Linked DNA regions of Schizosaccharomyces pombe. Changing the gene in region 4 together with the main gene of any one other region gives a genetic interaction. Each region holds a gene or a part of one and is shown on either strand. Other genes may lie near its edges.

Region 1 (5,166 bases), on a different chromosome or scaffold from region 4:
GCTGACTACAGAAGTTAGATCATTGAGACGAAAAATGATTATAGCATACCAAGATGCGATGGTTACATATCGTTCCATAATGAACTGAATGCTTAACTTGAGGTTTATTCCCAAACAAGTAATTTAACTTATAATGTTTTTTTCGTACTATAAAAGTTCCAACTATGAGTGAAGATCGAAGTTTCTATTCAAATGTCTATTCACGGTTATGGCAGTAAGTAAGAGCAGGAGGTAGTTGTCATAGTAGAGTCAAGTGTAAATAAAGGGTTCGCATCATATAGCAAAAATGCCAGTTTCCCTAAGTAAGAAAAAGAAAATTTAAATAATTTTAAAGACCCTCTCTGATATTAGTAAAAAGAACCTTAATACTTCTTATGCAAATTTTGGCGACTCTTCTAACTACATGTGTATTAATTGTACATTACTACATAGCTTAAAAATTGATTTATAAAATCAGAATAATTGTAATTTTTATTTGATATTGCAATACAAATTCTAGTTTTAGCGATATATCTTCTCAAGTGAAGTCATTTCTGGGACTTCCTTTAATAAAAAAATTTGCCTATCTTTTTCAGATATACGAGCTAATAAATGAAATTTTTTGATTTAAAGTCTGTCTGGTTTTATTAGTGTTACTCGCTTATAATTACAGGTTTTTTGATGATTATAGAGCAAGCTGATATCTGGAATACGCACAACAGTAATTACATTTTTTTAATAGTACAAAATTGTTTTAATTTTATCCTTGAAAATATTTCATGATTTAATTAATATACTTAGTTCTTGGAGCATATAATCGAAATTACTTAGCTTAAAGAAGAAGAAGCAAAGCGACAGATGCCATAATGGTTGATACTCATTTTTTAACTCCCCTTCAGTTACTTCTTGTTGCAAATTATAGACAGATGATTCTTCAGCTGCTCAATAAATTTAATAGTTTTAGTGATTGCAAAGATCAGTCTTCTTTTTTGAAAGGGTATTAATTAGAATTGACAAAAGATTTCAGGTTTATTATTACAATGAAACAACTTTCTTCATCTTCTTGGGCTTTTTTCTCCTAAATTTCGTCCAAGTACTAAATTTTAGGTAAATTTCTATCAGTGCGCTTAAACCAACTTTAATAACTTAATTTGTACCTATCTTCGACATGGTGATGAGAATTGCAAGTTCAAGATTTCGAGCAGAATTACCCTCTATAGGCCTTTTATGTTGCTAAAATTATAACATAAGTACTTTTGCACCTAATCGTATCATCAATCATCTTTGATGAATTTTCTTGCCTGCAAACCTCAAAAGCGATAGAAGAACAAAAGAATCAGTTTTATCTCCAACTGCTATGTTTAGATTCTCTATTATAATGCGACGATAGATACAAATTTACAAGATAAATAATTTTACATTACGAATATTTGAAGCAATCTGCCTCTGTAAGCTCAACTGTAAACTTCATGGTTTAAGGTGAAAAAAGACATCTTTTTTTATATATCATTATGTATACACACAGTCTGTCCCTATGAAACTATCAATCGGGATTATTAACCATTGTTTCCGTTTCTCGATACAGGATATTGAAAATTATCTAACAGTTTTGCTTCCTTGGGCACTAAGAGACCTTTTACTAAAGAAAAACCCATCAAATATTAGACCTTGTAGATTAGTAAAATTAATAAAAATAAGCATCTCTCTTGAAACCATCTCAAGAGATAATCTGCTTCTGCTTGCGTATTATAAAGTTACCTTCAATCATTTCGGCGTGTAAACAAGTACCTCATATCAATAACCAAAAGCTCAACTCGTTTGTAGTTCATAAAGAAAAAGAAAAGAAAAGGAAACCTTGTTTAAGGATTCTACAAAGATGTAATTTTCTGGCTTGAGATCATTTACTTTCCTAGATTTCAACTTTCTGCTGTATACCAACCATTTCCTAACTACCATCCAACAAAAGCACGTAATTCCCATTCCTAAAGCGAGAGCAATTAATGCTCAAATGAGGTTTATACATGAAATAGATATTCTCACTCTTATTCTTTAATTAATTATTAAATAGGGTGGTTTGTGAGTTTTTTTCAACAATATTAAGCTTTTCGTAAGCCACCTTTCGGAACTGCCTTTACAGGCTTTAAAACTTATATTCTATGGATACAAGTTCCAATGTTTTTCATTATCAAGTATTGTGGACGTCTGATAAAGCAAAAAAAGTAAAAGTTTGGAAAGATGGGACAATGCGCTTCCACAGCTTCAATAATCGTGGAATTCTCTACGATTCTGATAACCGAGTCGTAGATGATTTTTTCCTTAACAACAAGAGAATTGTTCTGGATTCTGAAATTGAATTTAATAGAACTATTGTTTACGTTGAGAATTTACAAACAACTACTGAAGCGAATATTCCACCTATACCGAGGAAATCAAAATTGAGTGAGACAGGGAAGAGGCCAGCTTATTTATTAAAACCATTCCAGCCTCCATTTCACTCCGCTAACTCAGATGTATCTAACAATTCAAATGGTGCTTTATCGTCAAATATGTTAAAAACACACGCTCATCATACAAATTCAACAAAATCCACGATCTTCCGGAACGCAAATTTGCAATCTTATGGAGTAGATGACTCAGATATTGGTAGTTTGAGATGTTCAAGTAAGCATCAACTGTCAGTAACACCGGAAATACAACCCAAAGCTAAGTTTAGACCAAACTCATATCTAGCTTCTTCTGTTGAGGAATCTAATCGAGCTAACAATACCTCTCCCTATCCCCCATCTAACTCATCCGTAACTGCGCTACCGAAACCTTCGAAAATTGCATATATCCCTGTTTTGTCAAAACCCAAGTCTTTTAATGGCACCTTGGTTGAAGATCCTGTAGAAGAATTTGGAGAAGACGACATAGCTTCTGACTTTTTTTCTTCCCCTTCTGCCGATCTCGAGGCAGATGATTTTACCACTCTAAATAATTCAAATGCTGGTCATTTGTTACAAAACCTAAGTAATGATAACGTAAGTGTCTCCGTGAAGGCATTAGAAAATGGAAATGAAGAAGTTTCTAATAATCATGCTCGATCTCCTCATTCTTCCCGCGCTTGTAATACCATACCTTCCAACAAAAACGATGGGCTAAATGATGATCATCAAAGACAAGATTCTTCTGTTGCAGAACCCAGTCCTACTTCTAAACGTCTCCGTTTGACTCGCCTTCCGTTACCTCTGCTTCGGAAACCCACGGGGAAACGACAAAACTTTATTAATATCACAGTTACCGACCCCTCAAAAAACTTGTACGAAAGAAGTGTCAAAACTGCTGCCGAGCTGGCATCGCTTCAAAATGTAACAGAAACAACTGATAATGAAATACCAAACTCTCCTGATTTTCTAGATGCAGCATCAGAAGAGGATGAACACATTCCTTCGCTAGATTCGTCATCTCTTTTAACACCTTTGGCTTTGCCCAACAAAAAAGCCTTTCAACCCGTGAAGTTTCGTGTACCGTCTTTTTCATCTCCTTTAGTTAAACCAGCATCTTCGTCCTCGTTTGGTAGGAGTCACTCTCACTTAGGCACGTCCCTTCGCTCAAACGAACTTAATGGATCTAGTGCTTCTTCTTCAATCTTTCTACAATCCAACAATGCAGTCAATCCTAACGTTTCACCTTCTACTGTGCTTGAACATGCCAAACATCCTTCCTTGGCCAAACATTCAGGTGTATCGCTGAGAACAGGCTTGTTGATATATCCTAAATATGCAAATGGTTCGAAAAGAAAAGACGGTTTTGGAGCTACTTCTATAATATCTTCAGGGGAACATTCGTCGTTGCCTAAAAACTCGAAATCCAGAAATGTGTCGGTATTTTCTAGCCCTTTTAATGTCCCTTCGTTTACTGTTTCTTCTTCGGACCAAGTCCAAAAGAAAAAAGGAAATGTTCCTAATGCTATTGAAACGGACTCTTCTCCTTCGGATACCATTTCATCCTCGCCTACTGTTCGAGCTGTAAATCTCTCACCCAGCAAAAACCAAAAGCCTCCGAAAATACTTACCAAAATTCCGGATATTTTTTCTAAAGCGGGAAAGAAATCTCCTATTTTACCAACTTTTCAAGAGTCTTGTTCGTTACCTATTGAGCCTTTTTCGTCAAACATTACGGATTTGCCATTTGTAAATACAGTAACACTTGCTTCAACGAGTAGCAAGATCAAAAGGGCAAAGTTAAAAATGCTAAAATTTAAGCATGCCATGACTACACAAGGACGCGATCTCGATTCGGACGAAGATGGTGACTTTATTTGAAATTAATTTTTCTTTCGTACGTTGAAACTTCTCTCTCAAGCCGACTTTGTTACATATAATTTTTAATTCAAAAAACAGTACTGAATTTTGATTTCTGGTTTCCTTCATGTATTATTATCAACATTTATTTTTCCATAGTTCATTTAGGTTTTAGCTATACTTATTTAGCTCTTTTACATATAATTAATTTTTTTTTTTTAAACATTAGATTTCAGCTTGTTTTTGGTGTTGTTAGTACAATTCTAGGTTTTGATTTTCATTTTTTAGTAGCACATACATTGCTTTTTCAAAACCTTGAGTTTCTTCTTTGAACCTTTGAGCAAATAAGTATCAGATTTATTCTTTTCTTTTAAAAAACCAACTATTTGGGTTATTATGAAAATGTTGTAAATATTTTAAGTTAAATTATCTTTTGTAGTCATTTATTTTCTATACATGTTTAAATTTTTCAGCACTAAATAGTGTCTGTTGGTGAGCTCCAAAAATCTTGTTAAAGATGGGTAAAAAGCGAAAACAGACCATAAAAAATGACTATAATGAAAAAATTACGAAAAGAAAGGTCAAAAATAATTTGACTGATGGAAAAGCTAGAGCGTTAACGGTTTTTGAGTCTTTACCTTTAGAAGTTTTAAGATTAATATTTTTGTTATCCAATAATTCGAATTTGGCAGTGACTTCTCGTAGTTTGAGACACCGATTATCTTTAAGGAATAATACGCCTATCTTCATGCCTATTGATTTTACTCTTTCAATGGTACCCAAAAGCATCATTCTCTCTATTCAACGTGGATTGCTACGCAGGTATTTTACACTTCAAATCCTTACAAAAATTGACGAATTAGTCATTTCGGGGTTTGTTAAAAAAAGCCCTAATGAAGATATA
Region 2 (5,484 bases), on a different chromosome or scaffold from region 4:
AGGTGAATAGATTGAATGGTAATTGCAAAGAAGCGAACTACAAAAAGAGCGAAGAAACAAATTATTAAAGGAATTTTTGCTTCAGTAAATAGTCGATCACGCATGTTAGTTGAATAACGGGTATATCCCCAAGAGAGTATTAATAATAACGCAAGGTCCAAGACTAACTGACACGCAAACAAAATTGACACCAGAGTCTCTCCTAACCATGTGAAGTTCCCCCGATTTCTCAAATTTTCTGTATCCAACACAATAGAAGTGACAGCCTGTTGAGCACACGAAAAGATTAGCAAGAACATAATTGCCTTTTGAACGGTAACAATCGAATGTTTATATTGAAATCGGAAAAACATCCAAAGTGCAAGAATTACACTATAAGCGATTGTGATTCCACCAGATATAGGCATTCTAGGGAATTGAGAAGCGGGAAGCCCACCATACGCATTTTGCCAATTGACAAGAGCTTGATAAGGTAACATTTTTTTCGAATGAGACCAAATGCAATAATAACCTGACTGAGAGATTTCATATATAATGTTTTGAGGGTCAGCATTTGTCGGAATTATATAAGAACGAATGGATTTTGCTGACGTTGAGTTCCACAAATATAGTCCCAGTTGATCGGCTTCACATAGGTGATCCGTGTATACCGCATCGTAATCGCAAATGTAAGTGAATTGATCATCAGAACGGAATGCACCTAACTTGCGGATTTCTTTCCAATTGAATATCAAAACCTCAACTTCATCTTCTTGACCCCATGGTTCAGTCCAATTCACTAACGTCGTAAGTTTTTTAAATAAAAGCGTAAAAAAAGATATGTACATACCATAAATTGCTGGATTTAAAGACCCTCCAGATTCCGATTTCGAGTAAATGCCATTGCACAATTCATAATGCTTGAAATTCTAGCAAGAAGCCGCAGTTAGCAAATGATACGCAAGAAATCTGATTGTTTTACCAGTAATGTTTTTTCTGAATAAACTATGGAAAAGAATATACTCCATAGAAGAGATATCAGTAATTTCATGGTTTATGATGAGAGCATTAGATTTTTTATACTTCGAAGGACTGGGAACAAAAATTAAATACCAATGTTATGTAAATCAATGTACAAAATATTTTTTCCCAAAACCGATTCACGGATTATCTGCCAAAGTTGAGATTCAGAAGTTGGTGGAGGTTATTGACTACTTAATAAATAGTAATTTATTTATAGTTAGGCGATTAGCAAGGTTCAAAAAATAGCTGAGAAAGGTGTTGATTCGAGCCTGGACATCAACATTTTAATTAATTTTTTCTTTCTATAAACAATTTTGCTTGACTTGCTGAATTTCGCTAAGGATCAACATCATTGACTACTGGTGAATTCTTTCTTTGTTATCGGCCCAGAAATTACCAACCGTAAAATGTATTTTCCGCAATTAAAGAAAATTGTGAGGATTTATCCTTCTATTCGGTTTCATTTAATAAATTGAGAGCATTGATGAATAAATAGACTAGGTGTAGAAAAAAATTTAGTTGACGAAGCCGAATTTAATACCGCATGTTGTCTGGTCTAAACTTCTATTTTTGGTGAAACCGGTTTCCATTAAAATATCAACAAAAGTGATATTGCTAAACGTGGCATTTATAGTGTCTAAAGAAAGTATAATAAAAACCAACCAAGAGGTCGTTGATGAGAAATAATTATATAAATAATTAGTTAAATCATGAGAATAAGAATGATACATCAATTAATAAAAAATTACAATTTACAAAATAAAGTAGAGGATTTTTTCAACACAAAAAGTAATAGAGTCTTTTTGAGTTAATTATTTATTCAATGAAACTTACTTTTACATAAGAAATTATGGGAATTCTTTCAATTTGCAGATGGTTAAAGTATTTCTGTAACGACAGCATGCTTCGGAGAGAAATAATTATATAGGTTAAGGAATGTATTTTATTTTAAAAGATTGGATTTATTTTAATGTTCGTTGCTCATTCATAAACTAGTTCTGGTATTTTTACTACTCTTAAATTTGCACATACCCAACCAACAAGCAATTCTTCTAATGCAATTTGTTCTTTCTTTTCAGTCAAGCACCCAGTCAGCAAATTCTTAGTTATATGAGTGCTCAACATTTACATAGCTGCAAATTTTATAGACTGCCACTTGAAATTATCCCATTGATCTGCAGGTTTCTTTCTGTTCAGGATATCCAAAGTTTCATACGTGTATTCCCATCCTTTCAAACTATTTTAGACTCTTCTAATGACCTTTTTTGGAAAAAGAAAAATTATGAGTTACGAATTCGTCGAAATCGATTGCTTCGTGGTTCTTATGCTGCTGGTGTTTCGAGCTCAGCGATGAATGGATTTGTCAATGGCACCCAAATTTCATCCACACCAGCTGAGAGAGAATACTATAGTAAATCAGATGAAATAAAAAATATTTGTGGGCTTCCCCCGGGTCCTATGAAAGTGGAACAAATTGGACATGCTATTGACCATCTTGTCAGTGAGACTCATACAGTTGATCATCTTGGAAGTTCTATTAAAGCATCTTTTTTTCACATAGATGATGTTCCTTTAGAATGGATAAGCTCAATATGCATGCAGGTTCAAAGCTTTTTCTCCCCTGCAGCTCGAGAAGCTATATCTTCTCTAAAAAGTAGGACTACTACTAGCAATCTGCTTTTAAGTTTGTTCGTAGGGATACTATTTGAAGATGATTTGTGGTATTTTTTCAATACGCTTTATATGCTATCTTCAACGTCCGCTATAGAATTTGCTTATTTTCTGGACTCTATCTTTACTGTAGTCCGCACAGATTATGAACATTATCGTGACCCACTTTCACAAACACTAATTACTTCGTGTACTAGGATTCACAACATTGTAGCTGTCATTGAATCCCCTTATGATGAACCTAACACTAAGGGCCTTACCTCTGAACAAAAAATGATTGTTGAATGTCAATTAAACCCAGGAGAGGTTCTAAAAGTTAAAGCATTCGCTGGTACTGGCAAAACCAAAGCATTATTGGAATTTGCCAAGTCTCGTCCAAAAGATAAAATTTTATATGTTGCTTTTAACAAGGCCGCAAAAGAAGACGCAGAATTACGATTTCCATTTAATGTCAAATGCTCCACCATGCATGGTCTTGCTTATGGTGCTATACTTGCACAGGCCGATTTGCCGCAAGCTAAACTTGAGCGGCAATTATCAAATTCTACTATAGCTTCACTTTTGTCTTTGCAAGTTGCATTTCCAAAGGCAAATCGGAAAAATAATCCGGGTACACCATCCGCTAGCTTGGTAGCTTCTCATATCATGTTTACATTAAATAGGTTCATGCACTCCACTGACTGGCAGCTTGGTTTTCGTCATATAAGTAAAAGAAGCCTGGAAGTTACAAAACTCTCTAAAGAGAAGCTTTTGGCTTATACAAAAAAATTGTGGTCTCTTATTGTAAACTTTGAATATACCCATGCTCCTCTCATACCTGATGCATATATGAAATTATTACATTTGTATGAATTCCCTAATATTTTTTCAAAATATGACTACATTCTTTTTGACGAGGCTCAAGATTTTACTCCGTGTATGGTCGACCTTATTTATCGTCAGAAACACGCCCGAATTGTCATCGTTGGGGATGCACACCAATGCATTTATGGTTTTCGTGGTGCAAATGCATGTGCTTTCAATGAAAATTTGTACCCTTCCACAAAGCAACTGTGCCTTACTAAGAGTTTCCGGTTTGGAAACTCTGTTGCAAAATATGCAAATTTTTTGCTTTCATTAAAGGGAGAGAACGTTAAGCTTAAAGGGGTACAAAATGACCATGCGTATTGGTCTTCAGCAAGTAATCCCAACAATGTTAGTGGAGCGTTTCGATTTTTTCCTCATACGATTATTTTTCGCACTAATAAAGGTTTGCAATGGTTTATATTGATAAAAGCTAACGTATACAGAATTAATCCTACAATCGATTCGGCTATCAGTGTCATTACCTAAGGAGATACCCATTGCTATTCTTGGCTCAATGAGGAAAAAAGCATTCCAACTTTTGCGAAGTGGTTCAGAACTAGCGCATGGGCAGCGCCCTTCGCACCCAAAGTTAAAAGACTTTTCCTCTTGGGGAGAATTTGAAGTGCACGTAAAAAACTCAGCCGAAGAAGATGCCGAATTGGCTTTAGTATATGATATGGCCGACGAATTATTTAGTGAAAGCTTTCTGAGCCGATTGGACAATTGTGAAAAAAGATTGATGGACTCTAAAGACGATGGTGACAACGGTATTATTTTGGCAACAGCACATCAATCTAAGGGTCTTGAATGGGATAATGTTCAATTGGGTAATGATTTTCGACCAAAATTTGATAGTGTTTCTTTTTCACGAATTGGATCTTCGAGGTACTTGCAAGAGGAAATCAATATCCTTTATGTTGCTCTTACGCGAGCTAAAAAACGCCTTATCCTTAATGACACTATAACCAAATTATACGCATTAGAGTGCGGACTTGTTCGTTTTGCTGGTGGCATTTTAACGGAAGATCAGCTGCAACCTGGAAAAGTTGCTCTTTTTGTCGACTGGCAGATTGACAAGTTTAGCTTTTTTTATGAAACCCCTGCTGAAGGATACAATCTTTTGGTCGAAGCAAATGAGAAATCAGTATGGGATATATTTTTTGGAGTTCTTTCAGGCGCTTGGCAGAACTATATTGCGAATACATCTGAACGGCTTAAAAGATCGATGCTATTTATTGAAAATCAATTGTTTGCTGTACATGATCAGTAGAAACTATTTGATTTGTTTCTTTTAAAATCTATTTTAGCCATATTGATTGATGTACTATTGCTATTACAACCTTTAATATATAATCATTTAATAATATGTATATTCGTGTGGACATTTTCATTATAGAGCTATGTTACTATTTCGCTTATAAACGTAAACTCATATCAATCTGTCGCTGCACTTTCCATGTTAGAGTTAAAAGTAGTTGTAGTATTACACACAGAAAGCCATGGAAATAACCCTTCGTGTAAATAAACAGAAGATCAAGTTATATTTGTGCTTTAAAAGATTCCTATTAAGTGAGTCGATGACCCAATTAAGTGTTTATACCTAAAACATACATAAAGATGATTTCAAAAACTAGCAAGCAAGAAATTACTTCCCATCATCTGAATTCCCACGCAACGCTAAATAAACAAAAAACAAACTTTTGATACTCTCGTTAAGTGGCTTTGCTAACAATATAACGCAGTTATAAACAGTTTGTATTAGAATTAAGGTACCGAAGGTCGTTTGCCTTTATTAGCGTGTCAGCATACTACACTACGTTGCGTGTCACTATATGTCATATGTTGGAATACTAGTTAAGATCCGTTTGTTGATAATCACGGGTGACTACCCGTCTATATGAATAGATTCCTTTTGTTGACAAGTGTCTATAAATATTATAAATAGAGCTCCAACTGAACTGAGGA
Region 3 (4,859 bases), 1.7 Mb from region 4:
AGGTCAGATTGGACCATTTCTCAATTGATCCTAGGTTACCTGGCACATCTTTGCTTCAAATCAAAATGCCGCATTCTCCTCGAAATAGTGCTATGGGCAATTTTATGGTTTCTGTCGATTTTCAAGATAGAAATCAAAGATCTCTGAAGCAGGTTAAACGAACAGTCTTGCTTCCTCATAGGTCTCCTATTCACGAATACCTTAAGCTAATTGTATGTTCACCTCTTTACTTCATGGGGATTTTGGAAGAAACAGATATTGTCAATGTCCGTTTGTTCGAATCTGAAACATTTGCTAAAAGTTTTAATTCAATTACAACACTTTCCGTTAGATTTTCTGTCAAAAATACTCCAGCTCAAGCTATTGTCAAAATTTATTCTAAAGATATTGAATTTTACGAAGCGACTCTAGCTTTTGCATCAAAATTGCACGGCATGCGGTAAGTTTTACTTTTTGATTTACCTTCTTCATTTTTTTTACTTTACTCAATTTCTTTACCTGTTATACTTTTTCACAAACTAACTTGTCCTTACTAGCTGGTTCATGTATACGCATAAGGTTTCCGCATTTCTCGTTTTCACATCTTTATTTTGGTTTACGGGGATAACCTCAACGATAATTACCTATCTTATTGTCTCTTCCACATCTGAAACAAAAGCAACAAGACGTTGAATCTTCTCACATCTTCACTTGCATCTAAAATCATAATCGTCACAACCATAAAAATACATTATTATTAAATTAGAAAGTTCCATTATTGCTTTATCCGTTAGACCCATTATTCAGCTGCACCTTTATGTACAAAAAGTTGAAAAAGGGTAAAGCAATTTAAATCAGCACTGATTTTTTTTTTAGAAAAAAAAAATCTTTCGCTAGCATCTTCATTTTCGTCATTATTTATTAGTCGCCTAATTATCAAGAAGGCTGTACCAGTTCATACCGTCCATAAAGGAGTATAATTATATGTTCGCAAAATGTAAATACAACACGCAAAAAAGCTTGCAATAGCTCGGCGCACAATATGTAATCAAGTCCGTAAAAACAGGCAAAAAGAAAAAGGACGTAAAAAAGTCGCAAAATGTTGGATTTCATAACCGATAAAAGAAGCAAAGGTTGTCCTTTCGTTGCTAGAAAATGGGGGTTGTCTGCATTAACAGTATCTTGAGACGCCATAAAATCTTTAGAGGAGTTATTCATTGTTGTATTAGTTGCCATGAGTCCTGTTTCATCGTCACTAAAGCTCGAAAGAACTGTGCATTCGTGGCTTGATTCTTCATATGTTGGCATAGAGGAATCGTACCGACGACAAAAGTCGTTTAGGGTTGGAGACATTTTGGAAAGGCTTTGAATAATCCATTTTTGGATACCAATTTCCTCTGAAAGCATCAAAAATCCAGCAACCAATTCTTTGTTTCGCGAACTTTCAGCAGTAAGAGAGCTTTGCAATGATTGACTTATGTGTTTGCATTCTTCTATCGTTTTCTTTTGTTGTTTACATTTAAATTCCAATTCTCTTAATTCTTCACTTTCCCGCATTCCAACCGCAGGAATAGAAATGCAAACTGATGGTTGAGTGAAAGAAAGGCCAACCTCTTTGGAGTAAACCATTTCGTCAAGGTTAGAGGGTGATAAAAATTCATCTCCTTTTGGGTTATTAGACAAAGCAATTAAATGTTTTTCTCTAGTAAGATCATCTATGTGGTTGTTTAGCTGATTATTAGAATTTTTTAATTCATGGTTCTCTAAAGCAAGCCGACGAATAGTATTCTCATTTTCACTTGACCGAGATGCAGCCAAGCTTAATTCCTCAATTTTCTTAGTCTGATCTGTAAACTTACGCAAGAGAGTGGCATACCGAACTTGCAAGGCTGAAAGCTCTTTTTTTGTGGAGTAGAGGCCAGAGTTTGTCTGTATGAGTTCTGACTGAATTTTCTGAAAGTTTTTGTGAATGTTTAGATTTTGAGCCTTAAGAGTCTTAATTTGGTTATTTTGCGAATTATTGGCTACCTTAGATTCATTATATTTGGAATCTGCCATATTTAGTTGGTGGGTAAGTTCATTCACTTTTCCTTCTAAAATATCTACAGTACGAGATTTCTTTCTAGCTTGATCTCGAGCTTTATCTAACATATCCTGGAGTTCTGTGATTTGCTTGATTAGATCATGGTGCCCGTTGGAAAAATCAGGTTTATCCTTCCTAACAAGTGGCATCTCAGTATTTCTGGACGACGTATTTCTTCTTGTTAGAATTTTAATGACTTTTCTAAAAAAAAAATTCTTACCTATTTAGTGGTGTAGATTGGGCAAATGGAGTTCGAAGAATATTGACAAAATCACTGTCGGTAAATTGAGACATCGGCGGCAAGGACAGTCTCTTAGACATCATTTGAGAAGGGTTTAAGGATTCAGGAGAGGCATTAGAAGATGATTTTGAATGTGCAGAATTGACAGAGTGTTCATTTGCATCCTCTTTGATAGAATTTTTGGAATTCTGTTGCTCCATCGAAGGCTTTTCAGCTTGATTCGCAAAAGAGTCATCTTCGTTTTCAGTAAGTTTTTTATATACGTCTCGAAAATTATCCTTTGTAATAGAGAGATCTGCATTTTGCCGTACGAATTCGAGTGTACATTGTTTTTGGAATTCGCTCAAAAGAGGTGGTGCAGAAGCGGGATGTAAGAGTTGTAGGTCATTGATGATTGGCAAAAAGTTGGAAAGATGAACCTAAGAAAATTTTTTGTTAATAGTTTATCCTATTGGTAATTGGGTAAAGCGAGAAAAACCAGAGTCTTGAGAGTTTGTCTCTGACTCAATAAACAAGATCTACCTGCATAAGCAATCAATTTTTTTCATACTTTTCCTTCATGTTTAAAGTCATATGAATCGAAAATCAAGTCAAAATCGCGTTCATTTAGCATTTTGGAAAGGGAACTGGCAATTATAATTATACAGGAAACGAACCACAATTCTAGTGGGAATGGGATTCAGTTTTGAATTTTTTTGTTAGAATTTATCATAAAGCTGCGTGCATTTCATAACAGTTCACGAATTCACCGCATTTCTTAAGTGTTGTGAGTTGGGTTTCGTGCAAGGTCTATCCAAGGGTTTGGCAGTAGGGCTGTTGAGCAAGTGGTTTGAGAGACCAAAAAGAAGTACACAGAAAAAGACGGATTAAAATAAAACTTGAAAATAGATAAAAAGATGTTAGAAGAAATCATGTTTATGCTTGATTTAAGAGCAGCTAGAAAAGTAAGGCCACAACTTGGTCGTACTGTGCATACTTAAGTGATAATTCAAATGAAATCGCAAATTAAAAAAAAAAAAAAAAAAAATTATTTTTAGTGAAGTAGAAACTATTCGTATTTGTTTTATAGATCGATCGATTCCTCTGAGAACTTCAAGCGAATTTGCAGTAATTTAGAACGCCAGCATTTATAATTGCGGGTCAAACAACGATCGCCCAAGAATCTTTCATAGACTCCAAATAAGATTGGTTGATTACTTAACTTATATTTTGATCCTTGAATCGTTTTAGTCAATCAACGTCGTATATATTGTACTTTTTAAAAAATACAAGGTTTTGATCGTAAAAAAAGAAATGCATAGAAAAGGTCAGATTTTTTCATCCAAGAATGTGCAATAAATACAGAAATTACTTCTTTTTCTTTCAATTTAGCCAACTCTTTCGAAAACGTCTTCTATTTACATTTTCTATATAGCTACTACTCAGTCAAAACAGTTGGTTAGCATGTTACTTTATGAGAAGCGAGCGATGTGACGTCAAAGGTTTTTTGGCGAAATTAACACTGTCCATATGTATATGTGTTTGAGCGTGTAAAACCTGGTTTCTGCCATTTACATATTTTGAAACCTCTGTACGCTAGTTTAGTTATTTCTCGTATCATTTTATTTTTAACTGGTGCAAGAGACAAGAAAATTCATTTACTTTCGTGAAGATTTGAAAAATTCGTTTGTCAGCTTAGAATTCTTTGCTAGCAGCATTATTTGTACATTTTCAATTGGACCTCTCTTAGCTTTCAAATTTTATTAAATCTTCTTTGTTTTCTTTCTCTTTTGTACGAAGTGATCATCGAAAAGATAGAGAACATCGGGGTTTCCATTTATGGGCGATAATGTATTTTTAGAGCCTGATCCATGGGCATCTAGCAGTAATTGGGGTTCACCAGTGAAGCCTTTAAATTATAAAACAGCAATTGGTTAGTAAAAGTTTTGTTCTTCTGTTTTTTCCTTCTCAATTAATAGTTAATTTTACGGATCGATGCATTCTATCATTGATTTGTTTCTTTAGCTTGATTTTTTTTTTTTTCATCTTTCTTGCTTTTTTACTTACTTACTGTAATGATGCTAACCTTTTTCTTTTTCTTTTTTTTGTCTATAGGTAATTCATCCATTCCTTTGCAATATCGAAATTATTGGGACGTGTTTCAAGCAAACAATGTTCTCTTATTTCCAGAAGAAGAAAGTTATTCTGATATATTTCATGTTCCTCAAGATGTAATGAAAGAGTTCTTTACCTTGATTGAATCATCAAGCAATCAACCCTTACGGCAAATTCAGTTTTTCGTTTTGCTTGCCTTGGTTGCCTGTTATCAATTAGGTGTTCCTAGCACATTGGAACAGATTTTCAAGCAAAGAAATGGTAAGGCTTTTTTTTATCTTTGCTTTTTTTTGTCTTTTTGCTTACTTCCTCCTCCTTAGTCCTGCCCATTTTGCAGCGTTTTAATCCGGAACTTTTCAATCGTAGTTCTGATAATGAAACCCCTCTTTTTCCTAATAATTCTCCTCCTGCTTCAACAACCGCCTTGAATCTTTCATCCAACATTGTCCCTTCCATTAATGA
Region 4 (3,663 bases):
AACTGACAGGCTGATGCGGCTCTAAAGACAAATCCTTTAAAGTTACTTTCTCGGAAGCCGATACTTGTGGTTGTGAAATCGGCCTTTTATTTTCTTCAATCTTATCATGAATAACTGCATCTTTATCTCTAGGAGTATTTGATAATTGATGCAAAATTTCAAGGTTTTCAAAGGGATCGTAATTTGAAGATTTGGGGGTGGAATTGGAGTCCGGAGTTCCAACTTTCTGCCTTTCTAGTTCTTTTAAGGAAATTTTATTATCCGTTTTCTTTTGAAATAAATTAGCAAAAGGGTCTTCGGGCTTTGATGCTTTCAATGGAATTTGTGCATTCTTTTTCTGGGCTACTGGGGCGGGAAGGGAGTAGGATGGCGTTCTACTATTATTATTACTGTAATTATTTTGATTAGATGGTGTAGATTTATCGTAAAAATTGAAATCTAGCAAGTCATCCATGTTGGAGGCTTTATTATGGGAGTGTAGTGAAAGTAGGTTGAACTATCCAAGAACTTAACGTACTGAGTGCTTTCCACTTTTGTCGGCATCAGCTAATTTTCCTTTGATCCATGAAGGAAATTCTAGAATTGCTTGTATTTCCGCTTTTTTCTGGATAAACAGCATTCGCTGTAGCTGTTCACGAACAACGGGCTCCTTTTGGAAGCCTTCAAATTGTAATAATGTTGTAATCATTTTAATATCCCTTTTATTCAATTTTAAAGAGAATTCTTGGTTTTTATTAAAAATGTCCTCATACAGAGGGCCTAAAAGCTGTAAATTTCGTAATTGACTGTGCGGTTCATGACTGTAGGCATTAGAACCGTACTTGAAACAGGAATAAATGCATAAGCCATGGGGGTCCCAATCAAAAATACCAAAAAATTTAGCATCCGGGAGGGCTTTGGCTAATTTAACTAAAAATTTTCTCGTCATCAAATCTGGAAATCCTTTAGCCTGTTACAAGCAATTAGTTAGCTAGCACTCTAACATCAATATCATTGAAAAGGAAGCATTCTCACTTACTGTAACAATTATTGTATCCGCTAAAGCCTCTTCGGTTAGCGTTTGGAATACCGCTTCCTTTTCGATGACCAAGACCCATTTTGCTGTGGAAGTGATTGATGAAATTCGATGGTGAGAGATTAATAATGGCTGTATTTAGTAAAATTCTTAGTTAGAAAAAACAATTTTTACGGTTATTAAAACTTGAACCTACTTTAGTAGCAGTAATTACTGTCCCGTTTTCAAGAGCAATATGAATGGACCCAAATACCAATCCTTTAGCAGATGCTTCCTAAGATCAAATTAATCGTTAATGAATCTATTTCCAAAGAAATGACTTACAACGTTAAGGTCGGACCTGGAGCAACCAATGGTGTTTGAAATATCTCCAAGCAGCTCATCGACTACGGTTTGTCGCTTGAATAAATCTACATCTCTGTAATAAATATCTCTGCAAATGTAATTAGAACTTAAATCTGAATTTTCGGCGTATAGTACAAAGCAATTACCGCTTAGTGATTACTGTATCCGAAATAACAGCTTCATGAACACAATCTAAAACCCTGAATAGTTGAGCAATTGTTGTTTCATTCCTGGGGAATGAAAAAACCTTAACTTTTTGTCTTTCATTGGCCTTTGAATCTAAGCTGCCATTCCAAGAATTGTGCTTTCGTCTTTTCAAAGCAACATTTACTGAATCTTTGGTAGGCTTACTTAATTGCTCAACAAAATCATGAACAAATTGCTCAATCCATGATCTAACAACTTTTTTTTTATCATTCGAATTCATTTTTTTTACTTTCTGGACGCGTTCAGCATTCTTTGCATTGTCTAGATAATTATGCAAAGCGCGTATGGTTACAGTGTAAAAAATCAATAGCTTAATTCAAATAAGCTATATCTAAGCGAGATTGTTTTCTGAAGAAATGATACATACATTCAATAAATGGGTAATATCAAGGCGAAACAGTATATGTGTTTTCGTTAACTGCTAAAAAATACTTACTGAAGACTTTCCTTCTGATAAAATGGTGTAAGAGAAGACTCACGCGAGCTTTGCGGACTGAATTGGTAAATCGTAAAGATGGATCGAAATTTGAAATTCCTAAACAACTTATGTTCTTGTCTACAGAAAAGTTGAAAGAAAAGTAAATATATTTGAACTCTTTCGAGTTCAAATGCAACATACGACAACTAAGAGCCATAGATCAAGCGGTTACTTAATTTATTTCTATAGTTTTAATTTTCTATAAAAATATGTATATCAACTGTTTCAATAAATATTGTACTTATAATTTCGTTTTGCCAACTCCTTTGTCAAGAGAGAAAACGTAATTAAAAAACATGGTCACAGCCAGGTTCGAACTGGCGACATTCGACTTATTAGATCGACATGATAACCGACTACATCATGCGACCAACTGTTAACTTGATGATTATTTAAACCTATTTATAATAACATTAATGTTAAAAATATGAATGAAACTGACCTTTTTATACAAAAGGTATATATATAAACAAGAAGGACTTTCATTTTAATTTTGATAAGACAGTTTGAAATATCCTCCAATCCAATTTAAGATTGTTTCTAGTTTACAGATTTTCAAATCAGGAATTACTAAGTCATTTGCAACACTAAACATGAAGAAGTAGTCTAACTCACTATCTGCTCGATGTATATGTTAGCATATGCTTTCCTTGTGCCAGCCCTAAAGAGAAACTGACAGTGGTTTGCTTTTGCAAATGAAAAAATAAAATTGGAGAACATACAATTGTACGAAAATGCTACCTATCCAAATGGGTCTTTAACGAATTTTTTAAGCTTAAAAGTTGCCATATGTAGTGTGTTTGCTTGATTCATTAATAGTCATTTATTATGGTGCAATACTTCGTCAAGACAATAGTGATAGCTTTTTTAACTTATTGCGAGAACAGAAGATAGCAATTAATCTGATGTACAAATAACGATAATATTCTAATGACATCAATGGAAAACAATAATGAAAATAGGCACTCCATATTGCTTCCCGAAATTTGTACTTGTGGCATAGCAGATAAACAGGACGAACTAGATAAAAAATGAGCAAGGGTTTCTAAAGGAGAATAATTTCATCAAGTTTTTTTTTTTTGCTTCTTCTTAATAAGTATTTAATACTCAAGAAAACGTAGAAACAATTAGGCAACAATAGCACTGTGGTTTACAGTTACCCTTTCTTATACAGAAAAGATAGAGGTTATGACAACTGTTAAAACATGGAATTTTGCATGATGAACCGGTATTACTTTTGTAAGTTAATACAATAACAAAAAGATAAAAGTTAATAGAAAATTTAGGGAAAAAGAAGTGCAAAGCTCTGAGAATCATTCCGATATACTTAGACAATAGTAAAATAAATAAATACTTAGAACACGGACGGATTTTGCAATTTTAAGAATTAGGAAGTCCCGTAGATATTATTTAGAAGAAATTTTCCAAAGCATAAACGAAGTAGATAAGGAAAGAGCATTTTTGGAAAACAAACTTAATGGTCAAAACTATGACCAAATTAAAAATTCACGAATTCATAAACAAACCCAAAAAACGAAGACATTTTCGATATGAGCAATAAGCATATAAAAGGGGCTCTATGATATGGGTTGGTGGGAAAGAATGCTTAAAAGGGATT

What was found.
Region 1: of rec12 (region 4) and dbl2, changing one suppresses a phenotype caused by changing the other (phenotypic suppression), as found in Schizosaccharomyces pombe (one study listed by BioGRID).
Region 2: of rec12 (region 4) and fbh1, a mutation in one rescues a mutant of the other (synthetic rescue), as found in Schizosaccharomyces pombe (one study listed by BioGRID).
Region 3: of rec12 (region 4) and kms1, a mutation in one rescues a mutant of the other (synthetic rescue), as found in Schizosaccharomyces pombe (one study listed by BioGRID).

Annotation. Positions count from the first base shown.
Region 1 is NC_003421.2:308,404-313,569, forward strand, and holds dbl2 (DNA recombination protein Dbl2), read left to right. Parts: upstream 1-1,910; 5' UTR 1,911-2,135; coding exon 2,136-4,283; 3' UTR 4,284-4,492; downstream 4,493-5,166. Other genes in the region: qns1 (glutamine-dependent NAD(+) synthetase), read right to left, coding at 1-5, 50-78; SPOM_SPCC736.02 (uncharacterized protein), read left to right, coding at 4,780-5,166.
Region 2 is NC_003423.3:2,731,184-2,736,667, forward strand, and holds fbh1 (DNA helicase I, ubiquitin ligase F-box adaptor Fbh1), read left to right. Parts: upstream 1-2,026; 5' UTR 2,027-2,112; coding exon 2,113-3,922; exon of another isoform or gene 3,923-3,962; coding exon 3,963-4,789; 3' UTR 4,790-4,901; downstream 4,902-5,484. Other genes in the region: SPOM_SPBC18A7.02C (seven transmembrane receptor-like protein), read right to left, coding at 1-778, 830-908, 962-1,030; SPOM_SPBC336.16 (uncharacterized protein), read right to left, coding at 1,518-1,733. UniProt on the Schizosaccharomyces pombe protein: Involved in ATP-dependent DNA-unwinding in a 3' to 5' direction, and ATP-ase activities stimulated by the single-stranded DNA-binding protein ssb1.
Region 3 is NC_003424.3:3,461,122-3,465,980, reverse strand, and holds kms1 (protein Kms1), read right to left. Parts: upstream 3,084-4,859; 5' UTR 2,917-3,083; coding exon 2,854-2,916; exon of another isoform or gene 2,723-2,853; coding exon 2,283-2,722; exon of another isoform or gene 2,237-2,282; coding exon 916-2,236; 3' UTR 673-915; downstream 1-672. Other genes in the region: sei1 (seipin), read left to right, coding at 1-439, 537-672. UniProt on the Schizosaccharomyces pombe protein: Has a role in karyogamy, recombination and segregation during meiosis. Although it has been shown to associate with the spindle pole body it is unlikely to be involved in its formation or maintenance.
Region 4 is NC_003424.3:1,771,049-1,774,711, reverse strand, and holds rec12 (DNA topoisomerase type II (DSB-forming) Rec12/Spo11), read right to left. Parts: upstream 1,788-3,663; coding exon 1,507-1,787; exon of another isoform or gene 1,449-1,506; coding exon 1,340-1,448; exon of another isoform or gene 1,290-1,339; coding exon 1,212-1,289; exon of another isoform or gene 1,148-1,211; coding exon 1,019-1,147; exon of another isoform or gene 950-1,018; coding exon 509-949; downstream 1-508. Other genes in the region: UBA/TPR/DNAJ domain protein Ucp7, read right to left, coding at 1-454. UniProt on the Schizosaccharomyces pombe protein: Required for formation of the double-strand breaks (DSBs) that initiate meiotic recombination. Required for crossover recombination and chiasmatic segregation of chromosomes during meiosis I.